Struthio camelus: one gene and its partners. The protein of the gene in region 1 interacts with the protein of each later gene in a biochemical or structural test. Links are inferred from orthologs where the notes say so. Each region holds a gene or a part of one and is shown in the gene's direction. Other genes may lie near its edges.

What was found. The genes of interacting proteins can lie anywhere in the genome.
Region 2: of the proteins of CDC25C (region 1) and PLK3, one has a biochemical effect on the other in vitro, tested with the Homo sapiens proteins (2 studies listed by BioGRID, with this or other methods). The link is inferred for Struthio camelus from reciprocal best matches to the Homo sapiens genes CDC25C and PLK3.
Region 3: of the proteins of CDC25C (region 1) and MARK3, one has a biochemical effect on the other in vitro, tested with the Homo sapiens proteins (3 studies listed by BioGRID, with this or other methods). The link is inferred for Struthio camelus from reciprocal best matches to the Homo sapiens genes CDC25C and MARK3.

Annotation. Positions count from the first base shown.
Region 1 is NC_090954.1:300,694-308,439, forward strand, and holds the start of CDC25C (M-phase inducer phosphatase 3), read left to right. Parts: upstream 1-4,736; 5' UTR 4,737-4,868; exon of another isoform or gene 4,869-5,192; intron 5,193-7,746. Other genes in the region: C-terminal-binding protein 2, read right to left, coding at 1-14, 610-816, 3,315-3,459, 3,571-3,725, 4,217-4,265. UniProt on the Homo sapiens protein: Functions as a dosage-dependent inducer in mitotic control. Tyrosine protein phosphatase required for progression of the cell cycle. When phosphorylated, highly effective in activating G2 cells into prophase.
Region 2 is NC_090949.1:26,919,844-26,927,230, forward strand, and holds the start of PLK3 (serine/threonine-protein kinase PLK3), read left to right. Parts: upstream 1-4,384; 5' UTR 4,385-4,506; coding exon 4,507-4,668; intron 4,669-5,348; coding exon 5,349-5,456; intron 5,457-5,545; coding exon 5,546-5,662; intron 5,663-6,096; coding exon 6,097-6,226; intron 6,227-6,310; coding exon 6,311-6,398; intron 6,399-6,918; coding exon 6,919-7,014; intron 7,015-7,387. UniProt on the Homo sapiens protein: Serine/threonine-protein kinase involved in cell cycle regulation, response to stress and Golgi disassembly. Polo-like kinases act by binding and phosphorylating proteins that are already phosphorylated on a specific motif recognized by the POLO box domains.
Region 3 is NC_090946.1:72,266,353-72,273,917, forward strand, and holds the start of MARK3 (MAP/microtubule affinity-regulating kinase 3), read left to right. Parts: upstream 1-4,562; 5' UTR 4,563-6,583; coding exon 6,584-6,691; intron 6,692-6,793; coding exon 6,794-6,868; intron 6,869-7,565. UniProt on the Homo sapiens protein: Serine/threonine-protein kinase. Involved in the specific phosphorylation of microtubule-associated proteins for MAP2 and MAP4. Phosphorylates the microtubule-associated protein MAPT/TAU. Phosphorylates CDC25C on 'Ser-216'.

The DNA of each region.
Region 1 (7,746 bases):
CTGTCCAACTCGGCCTTCACAAAAGAAAACCCACAATCATCAAGGAAAGGTAAAACAAACTTTAAAGACAAGATACTGGGGGAGACTGGGAGCCTAGACTGAGCTTATTGCCAGGGCCCAAGATACTGCAGCCCTGGAAACCCCTAGGATTGCCACAGGGATCCAGAGGAGGTTATTCAGTGCTGATCCCATGCTGCTAACTCTAGTCCTTCCCCATGCAATAACCTGCACTTAGCCTAAAAGGAGGCGTTTTTCAAGCCAAATCTGTACCTTGAGGTGGTAAGATAGTAATAACCTGATTACAGGAGCCTGAGGAAGGAATTGGTAGTTTTCAGGTGGCTTGGTTAATGGTATAGAGCCTATCACACAGGAAAACAGTCACTAAGAAGAGCTGTCTGAATGTTCCAATTTTTCTAACCATCTGAATAAGGAAGAAAAGCCCCAATCCCGTGACATATACCCAACTCTTGAAGATGTTCCGCATCACAGAATAGGGCACTAGCATTCCATATGAGTTAGTGTGTTTCACAATGAACAGCTGTAAAATTATCCTAAGTTCCCCAAAACATTCACAGTTCACTTTTTAGTCTAACAATCCCCATCACTTACCAAGTCCAATGATGCCCAAAGTCTCCCCACGGATACGCACAGCGCCTCCAGCCACTTCTCGAATCTGTTCTACGCTTGAGGCTCGATTCCCTTCCCGCATAGCCTGATGTAGCCAAGTAACACGGCGATAGAGGTTCAAGATGTGACAGAGGGTGGAGTCAGCAGTCTCCTCCACTGAGGAGGAAGGGATGTTGCAAACTGCAATGCCTACAAAGCCATAGAGTTCAAATGAGATGTTTAGCATCACAACACTAAACCAACATACGTCTCTTCAGGCACAAGGGCTAGAAGATAATTCTGTGTTTCAGAACGACTGCCAAGAAAACACACAGGATACGTTTCAGGATCTGATCCTATAGCAACATGGATGGGACCAGCCACCATTTTAACCTCCAGAAAATACCATTCCTTGCTTATAAATCCATTAGATTGTCACCACCAGCAGAGAAACAGGTTGAAATGAGAAAACTGGGTCATACAAGTGACAAAAGAAACTATTTTAGAAGGTCTGCATCCAAAAGATGCACTTACACCAGAGGTATTCCTGACAGATTAACTGACAGATTGTAGAAGAATTAAGGAGACAGATGGTTGAGCTCTTTCATGCCTCACACTCCAGATGCCCGTTTGCAAGCTTCAGCTTCCCCAGGAGCGACAGTAAGTAACTCATTAAACGCAGACAGAAGCCATAGGAGCCTCTCAAAATCCATTTGAAATTACATTTAAAAATAGCAACATATAATGCTCCCACTCCAGAATCAACATACAGCCACAAGGGACCATAAAAGCCATGGCTAGGACCATCAGGTAAGTTACTAATGCCGGAGTTAAGGTCCTGAAAGCACACATTACTGACAGCAAATAGAAAGATGTCAGAGCGCTATAGCAAAACCTGGTCATTCCTGAGCAGTCTACCAGAATAACAGGCTGATAACATCACTTCACTGCTACTATCCTTTATTCAAGGAACCTCTACTCCTGAATGGGCACATCTTAGAAGAGAGTGTTTCAGCTGACAAAACTTTTGGTAGGCAAGAAATAAAAACAAGATAGTTAGGTCAAAAATGGGCCTCTTCCCAGGTGTAACCCTAGACACTTGCCAAACCAAGGCAAGTCCACCAGCTACCTGAAAACTAGGAATGAAATCTGGGTGATGGGTGAAGGCACGTACAATTCCACAACACATCACCCTCTTGAAAGCCTGTGACAGAGCAGACATTCAAATAAACTCAGACCACACTCTCCCAAGGGAATGAGGAAAGCAATGCCCATACACAATCCCAGATATCAGACCTCTTTTCTCTATCCAGTCCTTTTGCAATCGTGCCATAATGCCACACAGAAGACACAGAGGAGATGAAGAAGGCAGATAGGGAAACCTAACTTCTTTTAATCTCGTTCACTGGTTACCATCTCATTTGACTTCAAAAAAGCTACGTACTTTCATCTGTTACATAACTAAGATACAAACATTCACATGAAACACGATGTATAAATATGGAAAACCCAAAGGGACACCACAACCCTTCAGTCTGATTTGAATATTCAGAACTCAAAGAATAGTATCATGCCTCAAAATGAATTAAAGGGCCTGGCTAAGCCTGGAAACAATCGTTACCCATCCATGAGGAGACAAGAATGGCCATGCCTAAGGGACACCAGACTGTCCCTCCAAAGTGAAAGCAGCAGTTTGATGGCAAAAGAACTCTGATCTGTTGTTAATGATTGCGGAGGGCAAGAAAAGGGAAAGCTTTGAATATGAATGAGTTGAAAATATGAATCGTGACTATAAAAAAATAGAGAACCCCTAGGTATGGGCTGGCTTCCATGAACTCAACCCCAAAATGTAATGGCTGGATGAAAGCCAAAGACCTTGCCAGGAACTCTTGAGAATATTCAACTGAAGCATTCAGATGAAAAGACTCTTTACACCTAATTCAGGTGCTACAAAGATGTGTGTTCTTCATTTATTTGCAATTTCCCTCTTCTTACAGATCTTGAAATTATGTTGCCTGTTTGAATTTTATAAATATATGCTTGCATTTGGTTTAAGCTTAAACCTATTTTGCATTAAGAAAGGTGTCAAACCACAGACATAACCCTAAAAAAGAAAGCACAGGGCATTCAAATGATGGGCCTTCCCAAGGAGCCTACAAGGTCCAAATGCCTCACTGCCATGTGTTTAATAAACAGCAGCTTTTTGTCATCTGACCCAGAGACTCTCCGCATACCTGAACTCCAGACTTGTAAAGGGATGTATAATAAGGTGTTGAATCAAAACTTACCTGCATATAAAAACTAACACAAAAACTCAATAATTGAGCATTTACAGTGGGTTTACCCTACATCAACATTTGCAGCCTTTTAGACATCACAGTTTGCTCAGTGCTTTTCCCAAAAGCAACCCTAAATTACCTCACCAATGAGAAATTATCTAGACATTGTATATAGGTTTCTGAATCCCAGACAATAGCAAAGGCTCTGTGACATCTATAGCAGAGTATTCTGAAAACACAAAAACTTCCTTTCGAGCCACCTACCAGCTCAGACGTTTATCTTTTTCCTAAAAATGCCTCATACTAAGCAGCTCCAAGTCTTTCTACTTAAAGGTTTTAAACATACTCAGTTAAAAAGCAGAAAAACGTGTGGCGTTCCTCTTCACATTCAGTTATAGTTGCAACAGAGCCCCGATGGTGTTGTCATACCTAACTCTGCAGCTGATTTGATGTCAACGTTGTCATAGCCACTGCCAATGCGTACAATGACCCTGAGGGCTTTGAATTTCTCTAGATCCTGACGAGACAGGGTAATGGTGTGATACATCAGAGCGCCTACTGCCTCATTCAGCACCTACAAATAAAAAACAATCTCAATCAATTCATCTCTCTTTGCTAACTCTCTGAGATAACTCTCATAGTTAGCTAGCTCCATGCCCAAATGCTTGCATGTTTTCATTCCCACCTTTTCATGGATTTCCTGAGTTGACTGAGCATCACAGAATGCCACTGTAGCAACATCCTTCAAGATGGGCATCTCCACAGTGCAATCTCTTCCATCCAGGAGCGCAACCAGAGGACGAGCTGGCATTGGACCATTCACAATAGGCGGTCGTATGCCTATTGAAAAAAAGTGGGCATGAGTGACTACATGAAAGACAGGAATCCTGAAGCCATCATTTGCATTAGTATATACATGTGTTTACAGCGGTCCAACGGATCACTAGTTATTTTAAACTTCTGCAGCATTTAGGCAGGGATTAGTCAAAACAAAAGAAATAAACAGCAAGCAAACGCAGGAAAAAGAAGCCAGGAAAAAAAGTACTCTGCTGTTAGTACTTTAATAGATAAAGGAAAACGCGCTCTATCAATAACGAGAGAGCAGAGAAGGTCTCCCGACGAGCATGCCATCTCACTCCAGGCTTCCGAAGTCCCGGCAAAGCTGCCGCAGGGCCGAGCCCCCGGGCCGGCGGGCCCCGCCGCCCCCGCGCAGACGCCGGCTCCCTCCCGAGGCGGCCCGCCAAGCCCCGCCGCCTTCCCGGCGCGGGCCGCGGGGAGGCCCAGCGCCGGGCAGCGGCCGCCGGGCCGGGTCGGGCCGGGCCCCGCCTCACCTTCGCAAATCCGGTCCAGCCGCTGCCGCTTCACTTTGTGCCGGTCCATGGGCCGGGCCGGGCCGGGCCGCGCAGCCCCGCGGCGCTGCGAAGGCACTCGCCGTCACCCGCCGCCGCCCGCGCCCCGCTCCGGCTCCCGCAGGAAGCGGAAGGGCCGGGCCGAGGCCCGGGCAGCGCCGCGCCGCGCCCCGACAGCCATAGAGGCGCCGCAGCACAGAGTGCCGCTCGCTTCCGCTTCCGGCCCCCGGCCCCGCCGCCGCCGCCGCCGCCGCCCCTCCTGGCGCCGGGGCTGGCGGGGAGGGAGGCGCCTCCCAGCCCTGCCGCTAGGAGGAGGAGGGACGGCAGGCGATGGCCGGAGAGGGAGCGGAGGGGCGCGGCCCTTCCCGCCGCTCCCGCCCTGTTCGCCCCGCCCCGCTCACCTGGGCCATCTGCAGCAGCTGAGCGGCGGTTGGGTGCTGCTCCGGGCCACCGCTCCCGCAGCGCCTCGGCAGGCTGTGAGCGGCTGCGCTGGTACCCCCGCCGCGCAGGCGGGGAGGCACTCCAGCTCTTGGCAGGGCCCGCATCCAGCAGGGGACAGTGGGAAGCAGCACTGCAGTCTGTAAGGCTCCGAGGTGTCTCCGGTTTCCAGGAACTTGCTGATGAAGAGTCCCAGGTTAGACCCAGGCTGAAGAAGCGGGGGGGCTCTGTCCATTACTGTCTTGTGCGCACAGGAGAGACAGCAGAGGCTTGGCTGAAACTGCAAACACAGGCTTCCTGGGCCTGGCTCAGCTCTGCCAGTGCAATTCCTCAGGAAGTCCTCAGAAACAGTGAGCAAATGGCAGCGCCTCTTGGGAGGGAGAACTGAAGTCTTTTCCAAAGTAGAGTCCTCAGTAGATGTCCGAGATGCAGTTTGGCGTTCAGACAGGTGCCTTGGCTGCAGGGAGCCTGTCAGGAAGGGTGGCTGCCAAAGCCTGCGTTGCCTGGAAGGCTGATCCTAGGATATGGGGTCAGGACCTCCTAGGAAGCTCTCTCTGCATGAGACAAACAGGAAGCCAGTCAAAACATCTCTACTTCTGCCTTGCCACCTTTTCAGCCATATTCCCCATGCATGTCCTGTGGTCCCGTGAGGGGATCAGCACCACAATATTCACCCAGCATTTCTACATCCCATGTAGCAACAACCCCTTAGAGGTAAGGTCCTACTTTTACCTCTCCACTGGGTGAGGGATGTTCACTGCCTTTCCTGGAGGAGGGTTTGATCCCACATGTGTGCTGACTGACACCACAATCGCTCATGTCCCACAGGCAAGGGAGCTGTACAATACCAGAAGGCAGCTAATTTTCTAGCTCACCCACTACTCCCCAGCTGCTGTGCAGTCTCCATTTCTATTGTTACCTGATGGCCATGAAGAGCTGGAGCTGCTTATTTCTGGGCAGGGGTCTCAGAGTGTGTAATCTTTACTCAGATTTTTCTTTGACTAAGTGAGGAAGGGGTCTCAGAGTGTGTAATCTTCACTCAGATTTTTCTTTGACCAAGTGAGGAAGGATGCAAACATTGGGGGAGAGGTGAGGTGGCAAAAAACATTATGCAAATGGAGGAAGACTCAGGGGACAGGACAGAGCAGGTGGGCACACAAAGACTGACAAATCTTCCTCAGCCCAGCCTGTATTCTGGATATCCAAAACTTACTCACTTTTCCCTTAGCAGAGCATTAAGATACTTCAGTTGGAGTTTGGATGTAAAGGAAGAGAGGTGATCACCTCCTTCACTGTCCTTGTTTCTCAAAGAGAAACTGAGCAGAAAGAACTTTGCTGTTTAGGTGTGAGTGAAGACACGAAACCGAAGCGCGGCAGATGCCAGCCACAAAGGAGCACATAAAACAGTGCGTGTTTACTTCCTGATTGGCAGTGGCCACTTGATTCCTGATTGGGATCCCAGGATGGAAAGGGACTCCGAGTGGGAGGCAGAGGAGGAGGGCGAACAAAGACGGGCTGGGCAAGGCCAGAGGAGCGTGATCCGCCTGTGCTGCCGGGCCCAGCCGCCCAGGAGCCCCGGCAGCACAGGGGTCTGGTGGGGCGGGCCGCGGGGGAGACCCAGCCGCAGCGGTGGAGAGCGGCAAGCAGGGCCGAAGTCACGACTGCGCTGCCCCGCCGAGGTGGTCTAGGAGCGACTGGTGGGTAAGGACCAAGGCGCCCACCAGGCAGTGGCTCCTCCAGCGCCTGCTGCTGCAGCTGTTCCGTGACCAGCACGAGCATGGCGGCCCAGCCCGGTCCGGTCCCAGCAGTGCAGGTCAGGAGGGGACAGGGCCCGCTGCGGCCGGGCTGCTGTCCCGGTGGAGCTGCTATGGTGCTGTCCAGCAGTAGCAGGGGCAGGTGGGCACCTCTCCCGGGCGGCGCAGCCAGGCAGCAGGGTCATCCTGGGGGAGCCACGGCCACGCGGGTCCCAGAGGCGCTGGCTCGAGCTGCGGGGCCGGGGTACAGAGCAGCCGGTGAGGGTGTCGGGCCATGGTGGTCCTGCACCCATGCCCGCCGCTCGCGCGTACCTGTCCCTCCACTGCACCTCCTGAAAGGGCTTCTTCGGACTGCAAGTCACCAGAGCACGCTGCTGTGGCTCCCAAGAGAGTGGCCAGCCCCTGCCTTTCAAACAAACAGCTGTCTCATTCACCAGTCCAGCAAAGAAACACCATCAAGTTACCTGATGCATTAAACACATCGCTAGGCAGGACTGTTTCTCTGAAACGCGGTAATTGGCCAGGACCCCTCCCTCTACACCACAGCAGAATGCTGCTCGGTGAGCACTACGATAACAGACCTAAGCCCACAGCCTAGATTTGCATGTCCCAGAGGGTATCACACTCCAGCTCTTGCAGTACTGATGGGACAGAGATGGGCAACTGTGCAAGCACAGGGTACTCTGCACCTAGTCCTTCAGTCTCAGAAAGCAGCTGGAAGGATTGCAGAGGGGGTGTTAACGCTGCAGACAGGGAAGCAATGGCCACAAGAGCTGGCAGGCATCAAGAGTGTCTTAGTCTCTCCTCTAAAGAGACCTCACATGCCACAGAGTGCAAAATCTCACGAAATGCCTGCTATGCACACTAAGCCTATTCCCTTTAATAAGCTTGAGCTGCCAGAGAATGGAAGTGTGACGGACACTGGCAAGTGAGAGCACAGAGGAGGATCCACGAGTTTGAACAGGTCTAATGTTAGCATGACTGGACTTCTCCCTTTCTCCTTCCCTCAAAGAGCATCGTTCTTACATACAACTGAGTAGGCACCTAGGGCAACAGATGGAAGCGTCTTCCAGAAGTCTTTGTTCATCTTGAGCAGGATACTTGCTAGGGGGATCCCAGGCATGCAGAGCTCGTCTCCACAGCTTGATCTGCATGTCCCAAGAGCGACGACTATATTTCTTGTATTTGTTTGGTGTTTGAGGGTGAACTCCTGGCTGCCGAGCAGCCCTAAGAGCAAAGCACAGTATCATCAGCAATTAGGAACCTTCTTAAAATACTCTCATCTGGCAGCAAGTCTCCCCGTTCCCCCCAAATGCCAGA
Region 2 (7,387 bases), on another chromosome or scaffold:
CCGCCGGCTGCCGGCACTGCGGGGCTCACCCGGGGCCAGGGATCCAAGGAGCGCTCTTGGCTCCTGGCCTCGGCAGGGCAACGGCTCAGAAGCGAGGGGATGCAAAGGCATCTCAGCCCCATGGCCTTCCCAGCTCCGAGGAGCACCGTGGCTCGTCCCAGGGAAGGAGGAAGGAGCTGGGGCGGCCGGGAGCCCAGGCATGGGGAGGAGCACTGGGGGGCAGCTTGCAGGGTCACAGTCTCCCTCTGGCTGCCGTTTCCCCGAGTGCTCTGGGTGCCCGCGGAGGAGGCCTTGCTGCAGGGAGGGAGCGGAAATGCTGAGCCGGCAGAGCGGGAAGCTGGCAGCACACCCGGCGCAGCACAGCCAGCCCGCGCACGGGTGCACGGTCCAGCCCCAGGCATGAGGAGCTGCACGGGCAGCTCTGTCCTCTGTCTGAGAGGGCCTCGTGGACATGACCTTCCCAGGCTTCATGGACCTGCAGCATCTGCTGGAGCTGAGCAGCACCGAATAATGTGTGTGTGCTGGGGGGACCTCTGGGGTCACTGGTCCAGCCCCACTCACAGCAGAGCCAGCCTTGACATTAGATCCATCTTCAGTCTTAGATCAGGTCACTCAGGCTTCATCCAGGCAAGTTCTGAATACCGTGAAGGATAGAGATCCCACACCCTCGCTAGGCCTCTGTTCCAGTGTTTTACCACGCTCATATGGAAAAAAAAGTTTCCTGTCATCTAGCTGGAATTTCCCTTGATGCAACTTGTGCCCGTTGCCTCTCATGCTTTCACTGTGCATGTCCCTGAAAAGTCTGGCTTCATTTTCCCTGTAACTCCCTTCAAACAGTTGCAGACAAGCAGTAAGATCACCCCAAAGCCTTCTCTCCTCCAGACAGAGCAGACTGCTGACACTAAACCACACGGTCCTCACCACCCCCTCAAGCTGATGCATGGGAAAACTCCTGTCTGAATGAGCACTTTTGGCTACAGTGGGTGCTGGAACATGATTGGGGCTGGTGGGGGCTCTCCTGCGGCACCCCCGCTCGCAGTGGGACCATTGCTGGCCCCAGCTAGCCACGGGCAATTTGGAGTCACACAGGCCATAAGTCCTGGCACTGTGGGGTCAGGGAGAATAGGGTGAAACGTGGGATCTCCTGCCATTGCACATCGGGTGCCTTGGAGGACAAGATGTCTTCATGGACTGAGCCCAGCAAGATGCCACCCTCTGTAGCTGACAGCAGTGAGCCTGCAGCTGATTTAGGGGGAACAAGCTCATTAAAGGGAGGAATGTGCCCCAACCTGTCCACGTGGCCCCTGGGAACAGCAGGGCCACAGCTGAGTTCACAGTGTTCAAGTCCGTCCCTGGTTCAGGAGTCCTAGTTAGTCCCAGCCTCAGGATCCCAGCAGTCAGGTAGCTCCAGGACCAGCGTCTCCTCAAAAATCTCAGGCAAGCTGTCTGTTGCCTGTCTTATTCCTGGCCACCTGACCCACTCACTCCTCTCCCATGCCTCCATCGCTTTGCTCCCAGGATCAAATGCTCTCACTTTTCCCGGCTGTTCTCGCAGAAGGCCGGTCCCTGACCAGCATGCAGGTAGCAGTGCTGGCTGAGCGCTGCCCCCAGGGAGGGAAGTGGGCAGGGAGGCGGCGGGCATGGCCCGAGGAGGCGGATGTGATGCTCTCGCTTGGGGACTGGCTTGCCCTAAAAAGCTGACTGCCCCCAGCGTGCCAAGCAGGGCCGGCCGGTCGGTCCCCCTGGGGTTGCACACAGGGACACATGCGCACGCAAACACACACGTGGGACGGGTGCTCTGCTGTGAGCATCCCCAGGAGCCCGGTGCTGGGGCTCCCTGCGATGCCCCTCCAGGGAGTCGACCCGGCGAGGCTGGGGTAGGCGATGGCAGGGCTGGGAGGAGGGTGCATGTGGGCAGGATGGCTTGAGAGCTGCGCATGCTGGGCTGCTGCTGCATGTGTCCACCTGGCCACTAGTGTGAGAAGTTGTGCTGGGCCTCTGGCAAGAGGAGCAGCAGGAAGAGGCTGCCCAGCACCTTGCTCTGGCTCGGATCATCCTCTCCTCACAGGTCTGAGGCAGAGGGTGGAGGAGGGAGCTGCTCCCAGGGCTCCATCCGTCTCGGAGAGGAGGTGCCTGAGCCCTGGGAGGAGGCAGGGCCCATCCGTACCCCCCAAGCCTGGCCCGAGGGCCAGCAGTGAGCAGGAGCAGAGCGGATAGCTCTCAGCCATTGTGTCCCGCGGTGCCTCCCCCCGAGCATCTGAGCAAGCCCCGCTCCGCTCTGCTCCACCACCCTGGGGCGAGTCCCCTGAGCCTTCTCCCAGCACCCCAGGGTGCCTCCCCCCCCCCCCCGCTGCCTCCAGATGCTGACTCAGCTCTGCTGGGGAGCTCCCGGCAGCCTCCGAGCTGGGGCCTCCGTCGGAAAAACAGAGCTGCCCCGTGACGTCGCTGGTGCCCTGGGGAGCCTGGGGCCCCGGTGGAAACAGGCTGGTTTCTCTGAAGTGGCAGAGGCCTCCCTGCCTGCTCCCGGCACGCGTTTGCCACCGTGGCAGCAGGTTTGCACGTGCTTCCTGTACGAAAGCTGGAAACCTGAGAGACAGGCAGAGAGACGGGGTGGCGGAGGGGTGCAGGGATCCGAGCTCACACCTCCCCGGCCTCCGCTTTGCTGCTGTGAGAAAGGGGTTTGAGTTCTCCCTGCCCCCCCGAGGCTGAAAGGAGAGTCGCTGGGAAGCACCGGGCTATTTGGCAGGGGTGTACTCATACAAAACCCTCAGCGCGTTCAAAAACACATCCAGCACCTGTGCACGGAGCCCCCCAAACTGCCTCGGGGAAGCAGAGGGGGAGCACAGCACGGGGAAACTGAGGCACAGAGCGAGGGACTGGCAGTGGTCACCCCTTGAGCGGTACCCAGCAGGGAAAGAACAACAGCATTGTGAGGGGCAATGCTGCTGCTGGGGGTGCTCTGGGAGGGCGGGTGGCCACAGGGGTGGGGCTGCTTTTGCCTGCTCTGGGTGCCCGTGGGGAGGGAGAGCTGCTGCAGCTCCCCACCACGGGCTGTTTTGGGTGACGGAGACAAGGATCCCGCTGTGACCATGGCCAAGCCTCTGGGCTGAGCATCCCCTGCGTGGGCTGTAAGTCGTGGCGAGGGGAGCGAACCTCCAGGCTGGCTCTGCCCCGCAGGAGGACCACGGCAGACACCAGACCCGCAGGGCCGCGGGCGCAGGGGCTGCGCCGCACAGTCCTGCTCGTGGCCATTAGAGAGCAGCACCGCTATGCCATGCTGCCTGGATGTCTGTCCTGCTTGCCCACGCCAGCGCAAGCCAGCCGGACACATGCGCCGGAGCCCCCAGGAAGCAGCCTCGGCAGGGGGACACCCAGGACAGGGTGCCAGGCTCTCCCGGACACATGCGTATCCCCGTGGCTGGCTGCCTGGGACGGTGCTGCTGGTCCTGGGCTGGCCACCGGGCACTCTCTGGGCACGGGGTGCTGGGGACTGACCTTTCCGGGCTATCTGAGGGCCAGCAGGGCCCTGGGCCGTGCTACAGCCGGGGCGAAGCCTCGCTCCGTCACCCCGCGATGAGCCTGCCAGCATCTCCCCCTTGCCCAGACGCCCGTCTCAGGGCGGACGGCGGGTGCTTAGGGCGTCCGTACTCTGGGCTTCACTCACTTTTGCGAACCCGGTGGCAGGCTGGCTGCTAAAATCTGCGAGCGGCTGCAGACTCCCTCCTGGGAGGGCCGGGGGTGAGGAGCCCAAGCCCGTGGGGCTGACGCAATGTGGGAGGAAGGGGCTGAGTGCGTGTGTGCTGTGGGTGAGGGGGGGCTGCGTCTATCTTTATGGGTGTGTATGGGGAGAGGGGCTCCGTGTGTCTGCGGGGGGGTCCTTGTGTCTATGGGGGGGGGTGTCTCTGGGTCCATGGGGCGCTGCGTGTCTATAGCGGTGCGTGTCTATGGGGGTTGCCTGTGTCCGGGGGGGGGGGCGTTTCTTTCTGGGGAGGCGGCAAGTCTATGGGTGTCTGTCCGTCTGCGGGGACCTGTGCGTCCACGAGGCCTCGCTGTAGCTGGGGCTGGGTCCGTATATCTATGGGGGGTACGTGTAGGGGGCCTGTGTGCCTATAGGGGGCTATCTCCGATGGGGGACTGCGCGTAGCCCGCGGGCTCCTCTCGAGCAGCCCAAGACGTGGGGTGAGGTTTGGGGGAGGGGGGGGAAGGCAGGTGTGACTGCCGTGCCGTGCCGTGCCGTGCCGTGCCGTGCCGTGCCGTGCCGTGCCGTGCCGTGCCCCCGCGCCCCCTCCCTCTCTCCCCGCACCTCCGCCCCGCGGTGCGACTGCCCCTTTAAGAGCGGCGGCAGCGGCGGGGATGGGCGGGGCGTGGTGACGTCACTCCGCCCATTGATAAAGGCGGCGGGATTCCCTGCCGCCCCAGCGGGAGCGCTCGGCGGCGGCGGCGCCACGTGCGCGGGTCCGGCGGCAGCGGCGGCACAGGATCCCGGCGCCCCCGGCCCACCCCGCCATGGAGCCCACCGGCCTCTACCCGCCCTTCCCCGCCGCCCGCCTCCCCCGCGACCGCCCCGAGCCCGCCCCGGCGCCGCCGCCCCGGGCGGCCGAGACCACCCGCATCATCACCGACCCTCTCTCGGGCCGCTCCTACTGCAAGGGCCGCCTCCTGGGCAAGGTACCGCCGGGACCGGGGGGCGGGCGAGCGGCCCGGCTGCTCAGCGCCGTGACCCCCCCCCCCGCCGCGCTTGGCTCCCCCTTGCCTGGGAGCAGGGGGGACCCCGGGTGGGCCCCCTGCCCGGTCCGTGGGGCTCCGGTGAGGCGGGCGCGAGTGACGGGGCTGGTTGGCAGGCCGCCGCCCCGCGAGTTTCGGGGCGTGCGTGGGAGCGCGGGCGCCGCGTTCCCGGCCGGCCGGGCCCCGCGCTCGGGGCGGCGTGTGGGAGGCAGCGGGCCGGCCCCAGCCCGGCCGGGGCGGCTCAGCAGCTGAGTGTGCAGATCCGCGTGCTGACATCACGGCAGGAAAAACCTGTCGCTGTGCTGCTCGCTTTCGGTGGCCTCAAATCTCCCGGCCTGTTCTACTTTCCTGGCGGGTGCAGGACTTTCCAGGTGACCTGTCATATGGAAAGATGCAGAGCCTTGCTGTGGTGGGAGGAAAAACGCCCTGGAGGCTTTACAGGAACTGAATAAAGAAAATCCCTAGTCAAAAGCACTGTAGTTCAGATCTTAGTGGGCAATGTAGCAGGAGGGAGAGGTTCATGATGTTCTCCAGGCTGTGTTGCAAGGGAACAATTGAGAAGGCTTATAAGCACCTGTGGTGGCTGAGGCTAGAGCAATTCCTAACCACATCTTCCTTTGCAGGGGGGGTTCGCACGATGCTATGAAATGACAGACCTCTTGAGCAACAAAACCTATGCTGTGAAGGTTATTCCTCACAGCCGGGTGGCTAAACCCCACCAGCGGGAGAAGGTAAGTGGTGTGGGGTTGGCAGGGAGTGTCTGGCTGGTAGGGGTGCAGCAAGAGCCCTGCGCTCACCTGTGGCCCCTGCTTCCTTTCAGATCACCAATGAGATTGAGCTGCACAGGGACTTGCACCACAAGCACATTGTCAAGTTCTCTCATTACTTTGAGGACTCAGAAAACATCTATATCTTCCTGGAGCACTGCAGTAGGAAGGTGAGTGCTGGCTGCCAAAGGTTGCCCTAAAATAAGCCGCAGGTGGCTGGTGCTGGGCTGTATCTGAGGAGCTGCATTAGCACTCTGTTTTTCCTGGTTTCCACTGCTGCCCATTCTGTTCCATCCTCTGAGCTAACTCTGCTCAGCCACAAGCTGTTTGCTTGCATTGGAGACACCCTAGATTGCCTCTCCTATTCAGGGTATCTGCTTGTGTTGGTAACTTGTAGCACCTAGTGGTGCCACCCATAAATCCACTGGTTGTGCTGAGCATCCTGTGGTGACCTCAACCCTTTGTGTTCATGGCCATGGCAGAAGGATTATCTGTGGATGTGTGACTTTTGGAAGAACTAGCTTTTGCCTGTCCCTTGCCTAGTGGGTGCAGCTGCTTGTTCTCCCTGGCTGCAGTCACTGAACTGTCTTCTCTCCTTCTGCAGTCCCTGGCTCACATCTGGAAGGCCCGCCATACTCTGCTGGAGCCAGAAGTGCGCTATTACCTCAAACAGATCATCTCAGGCTTGAAATACCTCCACCTCAAGGGCATCCTACACAGGGACCTCAAGCTTGGTGAGTGTCCCTGTCAGGGTGAAGAGCAGTATGAGCACTGGACTGCTCTACAGTGATTGGTGATGCGTCACTCTTGTCTTGTAGGCAACTTCTTCATCAATGAAAACATGGAGCTGAAAGTGGGGGACTTTGGTCTAGCTGCTTGTCGTGATATCTCTGACCAGAAGAAAAAGTAAGTTTGAGTTTCCTCTTCCAGAGCTGTCCTCCAAGGGCTCATCTTTCTCTTCCTCCTGGCCAGCCTCCCAAGCAGAGGGGCAAGCCACCCTCCTGGCTGTGGTGGTGGTTGGGGCCATTCCTGCCCCAGCTGCCTGGGGCCCATGGCTGCAGCCAGGGAGAGGGGCCTGGAGGGGCTTACAGAGCTCACAGCCGTTGGAGAGAACAATGCGCTTGCTATAGCTATTGTGCCTGCCAGGCTGCCCTGCCGGGTGTGCGGGGCTGGGACACAAAGGCTCTGTTCCTTGCTGTATTGAGGACAAGCTCTTCCCAACAGCTCTCCAGGAACAGCTGTTCCTGACCCCTGGGGGCTGGGGGGAGGGAGTGTATGTGTGGGGGGCTCTTGTGGATGGATGGAGCCTTTCTACCCCAAAGAGCAAAATGGGACAGGGGAGAACAGGCTGTGAGCTAAAACCGAGGGCTTGGACAGGGAGAGGTTGGTTGCAAAGTACACACTGACCTGGCTGTTTGCCCTGCAGGACAATATGTGGGACCCCCAACTACCTGGCCCCCGAAGTGCTGCTGCGACAGGGCCATGGGCCTGAGTCAGATGTGTGGTCTCTGGGCTGTGTCATGTAAGTTGGTGCTGCTGTGCCCAAAGTGGCATGGCCAGGTGGGGTGGGGTCTGCATAGTCCTGCCTGCTCTGTGCGTGTCCCTGGGGCTGAGTGGTGCTCTGGAGCAGCTCTGAGGAAGTTGTGCTGTGCTTCATCTTGCAGGTTTGCAGTGACTGCTGAAAGGCAGGGGGAGGGCAGCAAGTGGCTGGGTCTAGCTGAGTGCTTTTTTTTTTTTGGAGTAGGGTTCCAGCTCAGGGGCTGGGAAGCTGCTTGAGAGCTGTGTGAGTGGGAGCTATATACTTGCAAACTCTCTCATGCTGTTCTCTGCTCTGGTTCAAAGTGGGCTTGACTGATCTGAGAACATGATAAACAATGGAAAATCTCTGTGGCTGG
Region 3 (7,565 bases), on another chromosome or scaffold:
CTCCAGTGGACAATGAGGCAGCTATAACAATTACATTAGGTGATTCTCTACTTGCCTCTACCAGCTGATGCGCCCAGCCTTTAAAGTGAGGTAAGGGGAATATAAATACCTCAGTCAGTTCTGCATTTGCAACCTTTCTTGCAGAATGAAAACTCAAAAAAACACGCTTTTGAATAAATCAAAAAATATTCCTTATGTCTCCCACACATTGTACTCAATTCCACCATTTTTGCTCTGATCACAAATGCTGTTAAATTTATGGTCGACTGTGTACGTTCAGTGTAGTGTTACAGTGAATAGACGTGACATTTTCCAAAGGAAAAAAAAATCTAAATTCTTCACGATAACAGTGTTGTTTTGTATTGCATTCTTTTGTTTTCAGTGCGCAGCGATAGCCAAGAAAGTGACATAAAAACGGCACCTTAACTAGCATATCTGTTTCCTGTGTGTCTTTGAGTCATATTCTCCAATTTTACTAATAAAAAGTTTTTATAACTGTTAGCATTATAGAACAGTTAGCTCAAAACGTAAGCTGCAGCCTATTCTAGAGGGCATACAAACGTTGTCATCTAAGTCCCACCTACAAAATCTCTGTCACTATCGCTAGTGATAACACAAGAAGCAGAAACCAGAATTTGGCTGAGATCTCTGAGTTTTCAGAGCCTTTAGATAGGAAAAATCACCTTCTGATTTGTGAACTCAACTTGAGCAGTGCCTGATAACACGGAGAATATTTATAGAGAGCAACGAAATAGGAAAGTCACGCAATCTTTTTTTGACTATGGCAGCATTTTTACAAAGAAAGTGAATACACTTTGAAATCAACTCGTCTGCTTAAACATGAGAAACAGACCATACAGCAACAATGAGACATAAAAGAAAGTAGCTACTATGCAATTTGTCATTCCTTGTGCAAGCTCCTGCTATGTGGAAAAAAACAACACTAATCAATGCTGCTGTTTATTGGCAATAGAGCAGCAAAATCAGCCGTTATCTTTGGGGTCTCAAGTTCTTTCTTCAAAATCACTTTGCCAATCAGAAGTAAAATCCTGAGAGAAACAAAGATTCCTTTCCCACTACTCCCCCTTCCTCTTTCCCCCCTGCCCCTTTTTATTTGGGCTGTGAATGTTAAATGTGGGCTTTATTGAAGTAAACAGCAGAACGCCTATTGCATCAACAGGTCTAGGACTTTCACCTAACTATCTATAATTGCATAGTTTAAATTTTATCTGAGTGGAAGGGTGATATTAGTATAGATTAATAACATTACGCCGAGCTTATTTTAGTACCACTTGGTGTCTCAGCACAGACACAGACCTCAATTCTGCCGGCACTCAGGACAAGTAAACTCACACTCGCAGCAACGCTACTGAACTTGGCGTGCTGCTGAAAACTGCTGCCAGCCTTAAGCACTTGCAGTTCAGTATTCGGATGTTAGCTGGAGTCGCACAAACGCAGGAGGAGAGCGTTAGTCAGGTTAACAACCCAAGTAAACCTCCAAGTCTATTTTTACCCTTTTCCTGACTCTGTCATAAGTCAATTATCATTTTTCATAAACGTACTGTAAAGAACATATTCTACTGGCAACTGAAAAGAAAAAAAGGCGAAGAAGCAGCAAAAGCAGAGAGTCAGATCTGGATACTTTTCCTGGCTTTCCTTCAGGCTTCGTGACCGACCTTGGCAAACCAGAGAGAGGCAACTCCCACCCCGTTCTCAGTGCAAAGGGTCCTTGCCTGCTGCTGAAGGAGAGCGGCTGCACCAGGGACACCCAGAATCTGAGCACACATGCACACGGATGCGTGGAGACGTAGGCAAACACGACTGCCTGCACAAGAGAGAAGCGTTCCTCAAGCCCCAAATCCCTGTAGTTGATACAGGGCAAGGAGTCAGCTTAACTTGAGAGCAAGGCGGGAAGATGTCTCTCTCTCTCTGCAGGTCCGTTGGGTTTTCTCCTTCTGCGGGTCAGGTGTCACGGAGAATTTTGTAGCCCTGATGATGAAGGAACAGACAAGCAACTCATTTATCGGGCAGTGTTCAAAGGCTACTTCTCCTTGCCTGTGTCTCTAAAAGCAAGGAAACTATTACCTACACAACAGGATGGATTTCAAGGCTAAGCTAGTAAATATTTGTAAGAGACAAAGTTTGTCAGATAAGCTACGCTTTAGAAAGGCGAAATGTTATCGCTGTGGTGCCAGATCTCCAGAGATGCCAAGTTGCTACAAATCTCACCAAAACTAGCATTTGTTCTACGGAGGCTCACATTTTCTTCCCCCCCCCCGCCCCGGCCCCCAAAAAAACCACCACCAAAACTCCCAGAAACGGACGTTTGTCTCTAAACCATCTGTACATTGAGTATGTGCAAGTTACTTTTCTTTGTAGTCTTTAATTCCTCATTAGTTCTGCTCGTGAGCGCATCAAGGCCTCGCACACTCGAAAACGGCCGCGCGCGCTAAGTAACCGCCGGCCCCAGGGCGCACGAAGGCTGCGCTCCGACTGCACCGACTTTCGCCCTCCTGCAGCCAACGAGCCAGGCGCGAGGCGGGCAGTAAAACCCTCGGAGCCGCAGCCCGACGGCGCTCCGCTTAGCTCTGCGAGGGGCTCGGTGAGCCCCCCTCGTCCCCCTTTGGGCTAGCCAGGACCAACACAACTTTTGGCAGAGCGAGGCTGTTAAGGCCCGAGTCTTGCCGGCGGCCACGGGCGCCGCTCGCTCCCAACACTGGCCAAGCAGCGACCAAGTTCACGCGGATTTCAACGCTCCCGCGAGCGGGCAGCCGGATCCGTCTCCGCATCCTGCCTACAGAGCAGCGGTTTCCAGCACTTTCAGCGGGTTTCCACGATCCCCGCCCTGCCCCCGGCGGCGCTCCGGGCCCCCCCGCCCCGCGGCGGCGGCCCGAGGCCCCGGGCGGGAGGGGGCGGCGGACGCTGCGGCCGCAGCACCGGGCCAAGTGCGGGCACCAACGGCCCGGCCCCGGGCTAGAGGGCTGCAGGGCCGCCGGCGCCGGCCCCCCGGCGGCGCTGGGGCGGGGGGGAGGCGGCGGGGCGGGCCCTTCCGGTTCATGTCGGAGCTGGGGCTCGGCGCGGAGGAAGCCGGGCGGCCATCTTGGCTGGTCCGGGAGCGGCAGCGGGGCGGGGTGGGGGGGCAGGAAGGCGAGCGTAGCGCAGGCGGGCGGGCACCCACCCAGTCAGTCACCCACCCACCTCCCTCCCCCCCGCAGCCCGGCCTGCGGCCCGGGGCACGCCGGCCTTCTCGGAGCCTGGGGCGGGCGGGCTGCGGCGGGAGAGAGGCGGAGCAGGATGCGAGCGGAGGCCCGGTGAAGCGGGGCTGCAGGGGCGAGGAGAGGCGAGCCCCCGCGGCGGGCGGGCCGGCCTGAGTGCGCTGTAGCCGCCGTGCCCCGGCGGCGGCGGAGCAGAGGGGCCGCCGCCGCCGCCCTGCCCGGCTGCCCCGCGCTCCGCCGCCGCGCTCGATGCGGAGCCCGGCCGCCCGCCGCCGCCCGGCGCTGAGCCCTCCGCCCGCCCTGCTGCGGCCCTAGGATGAGCCCGGCGGGCGCCCAGGGGCAGACGCCGCTGCTTTCCCGCGGGGGGATCTAGCCGGGGCGTGGGGTGCCGCGGAGGAGGAGGAGGAGGGGGGGGGACAGCGAGGCGACGCCGCCCCCCGCCGCCCCCGTCCTTCATGGTGGCGCTCTGCGACCACCATCGCGGAGCAGCAGCGCAGCCCGTCCTCGCGGGGGGGCCGCGGCCGCGCCGGGGCTTTTGTGCGTGCGCGCGCGTGTGTGTGTGTGTGGGGCTGTGGCGAGCCGCGCCGCGCTGCCGCCCGCCTGAAGTAAAATGTCCACTCGGACTCCATTGCCCACGGTGAACGAGCGCGACACGGAAAATGTAAGTCCCGCGGCGGGGGAGGGGGGGGAAGGGAGGGGAGGGAGCCTCCCCCGGGGCCGGGAAGTGGGGGGGGGGGGTGTAGAGAGGACCGACCCCCGCCCCAGGCCGCCGCGGGGGTCTCCCGGCCCGGGGAGGGAGGAGGAGGAGGCGGAGGGGGGGTTGAACTGTGGCGGCCCGCTCCGCCGCATCCCTGCCCGGGCAGTGCCCGCTGCGGCCTTTCCCTCAGGTGTCTCTGGGTCGCGCGGTTTTGGGAGGGGGTGGTGACAGGGCACAGGAAGGCTCCGCGGGCGGCGGCGGAGACCAGGAGGCCCCATGCGATGCTGTGGCCCCCTCACAGACGGCCTGGCCGCCGGCCGGCAGCGGCCGGAGAAGCTGCTAGTCAGCAGACTGCAGGCAGTAACTCCGCTGTGGTAGGGGTGGGCTCGGTGACCTAGATAATAGGGCCTTTTCCGTGTTTTAATTTTCATGGTTCTACCCGATAATGACGCTGTTCTGCCGGTCACCTGTTCGGATGGCGTTAAAAGGTCCTCTTTCCGAAATTACCTTCTCGGCTAGAGAGCCTGTTCCTGCTTTCATTTCATTTCTTGTTTCCCTTCGGCAGACAGGGCTTAGCGATATAAATGCCTTGTTTAAAACATGCCATTTCATTCACAAGCTTAAGTCAAACGCTGTATTAACAATCATACAGGTCGCGTGCTAAAGGGGAGGGAAAAAAAAAAAAAAAAAAACAGAGTACTGCCACATGAGCAGATAGCCAAAAACGAAGCTCAGTGGGAGAGTCCCTTTCTGCAGATAGGAACTATAATTCTTGTAAGTTAAAAATTACTTGATCCCACTGTGTTCTCCCGTCTGACCATTATTCTGTTTATCCTCTGGGCAAAATGTAAGCAGCTGTGCAGAAGGGAGGTGTCACCCAGGATAGGTCTAAAAGGAGTTGATTAGTAAACTTTGTATTTACCTCCTTACAAAGGCTACCTGATGTTCTTTATAAGTCAGATGTCAAGCTTGATAGAAGAGGATTTTTTTTTGGAGGGTGCTTATCTTCTGGATTGGCATGAAAAGTGGAAGCTTTGGTTAAAGATCAGGAAAAACCGCTGGATTGTTCAGCACAAGAAAAGTGATGGTAGCCCCATTGTTTAAAACAAGACCAGACAAAGCATTAGAAAACATGCTGCATGGAACAATTGCTGCATTACCAGGGATTTGGATTTTATTGGCATAATAGGCACTTCTAACTTCTGTGATCTGTATTTGTTTTAGCACTTGATGCAACCTGCAGGCTAAGGGCTATATTAAGCAAAAAGCCAACTAAGCATATTTGGTTGTAAAATCTCAATGAGCTTCCTGCCTTGTGGGAGAAAATAATTAAAATATTGTGTGGCCCTTTCTATGCCATGGGGAGAGGTGAAGTTGTCGGGTACTCTACAAAGTACTTGACAAAGTTTATTCAGATAATTACTCTAGTCTGTGAGCAAACCTGACTGAGGTTTTCAAGCTCCACTCACGTGTATCAAGGCCGCCCAGTAAATCACTTTAGAAAACTGTTCATATCAGGTTCCTAACATAATTAATTCAAACTCCACTGTAGATAACTTAATGGTGGAAAGACTTGGTAAGTGCTTGAGGAAATAAATTATTCACAAGCTGTGTGTTCTAGCACTTGAAGTTAGATTTTACATGTCTTCCACTTAAGTCACCTCATTCTCACTTCAGAATATTGGACTAACACTTCTCTTTAGTGATCTTTGTGACTTAACGTACAGGGGTTGTCTTGCTTGCAGATGAATTGCCTTAGGTTTTGATTAAGGCAGATCTCTTAAACGCTGTAATTGGGGCTGGTGACCACAGAAATACCTGTAGGTAGTGGTATGGGTGGTTACTCAGATTAATCCCTCCCTGTCAAATCCATTGAAACAATACAGTACTACATTCCTCAAAGAGGCTTTCTCTGCTATTCTGACCGTCAGCTGTTAAGAAAGGCACCTAAATGCATGCTGTTAAACATTACGAAAATTAAATTTTAATCTGATATTTAGTTTGTCTGAATTACGCCCGCACCTGTAAATGCATGCAAAATTACCCTCTGGTTCTATTTTTTGCTACAAAATATAGCATTTTTGCTACTTCAACTAACTGTTTTTCCACCCTAAAGCCTGATGTATATTGGCAGGTGAATTGAGCCCTTGATTCTCTTTCACTTCAGTGAGGTTTAATTAGTTAATATTCATGGGACTCTTTGAAGTTCAGGTGGGAAGATGCTTTAGAAGTGCCAAGCAGTCAGACAGCCTTTGGGCCATGGCCCCCCTTATCGTCTTTTCTCTATTTGGAAGATTACCACTGCTGACAAAGGCTTGGCTGGTGCTGAATCTGGTTTAAGTGTGCTGATCATAGTTTATCCTGCCTATACTTGCATTTTTGAAAATGGAGTTAGCCTCCAGAATGATGGTGAACAGAAATTATCATTGTCTATGCTTGCAGGTAACCACGTTCAGCAGTTGGTAATTCTTGTGGAATAGAGGAGGCCTAATTGTCAGTGCTTGCTTGCCTTTTTTTTTTTTTTTTAAGGTAGCGCATACCACTTCTTATTGAGACACTTCAATGCATATATTACTAAAGTGGAAATACATTCACAGTGACTTTCCCCAAAAGCTACTCACAGCTATCAAACCTTTAAAGTTCGAGATTGAAGAATCTGTGGCAACAGGTCATGTTTTTGAGAGGAAAGGCATCCCAGATGATCTGTGATCACAGGAACTTCCTACTCGGACAGTTGGGAACTGACCATTTGCCTGCAAATTTGCTCCTCACCACAAAGGTAGAGTAGCTCCTTGCTGGCAGTGCCTTTTACAGCAGTGGCTGTCAGCTGCTTAGGGGACAGGAGTGAAGGAGAGGGTCAGATCTTTTCTATTTTCTGCAGTATTTTATGTCCTGCGTATGGGAGAAGAAGCAACCGAGGCAGAAGAGACCTCCTTCCCCAAAACGGAGAGAGAAGGTAGACTCAGTAGACGACACTAGTATACCTGTTTTATTAGTGATGGGGAGGAAGAGACAAACTCCCTGGAGGAGGAAAGAGTGTGGAAACACAGCGGAAAAGGAAAATAGGTGGTGGAAAACAAGATATAAGGAGGCACAGAGGAATGTGCATATGGCAGCATGGAAGACAGCCAGTGACAAAGAAACAGCAGCAGAAAGAACAGATTCTGGAGAGCAGGACAAATATATTCAGAAAAAAATTTCCCAAGGAATGACAAGGTGATAGGGAATTGTGGATAGAAACAAGGAAATAAAGGTGGTAAAGATTTTTTTTTTTTTAAGAGCATGAAATAGCAAGAGAAAGAAACATTTCTGAGTGAACAGTTTAATCTAAACCTCAATCTTCATTGCACAGCTGTGTTTCTGGGGAAAAAAAAAGACTAAGGTAACTGTTTTGAATGTGTTTTGTGTTGCAGACCAATCTGAATTCAAAATACAAGTAATTTGAGGAAAAGCGAAACTAAAATATACTCTTATCGCCGTGACTGTGGCTAATGTGAAAAATTTGCTATTGAAAAATGCCAACGTGATGGCAATTGTGCTTGTTCAAGCCTGTACAAAAGGATTCTGTGCAGCAAAACTGTCTCATTTCCTTTTCTATATTTAAAAAGGGTTAGTAAGTTTAGGGTTAGACCCAAAAATTTATTTTCAAGATA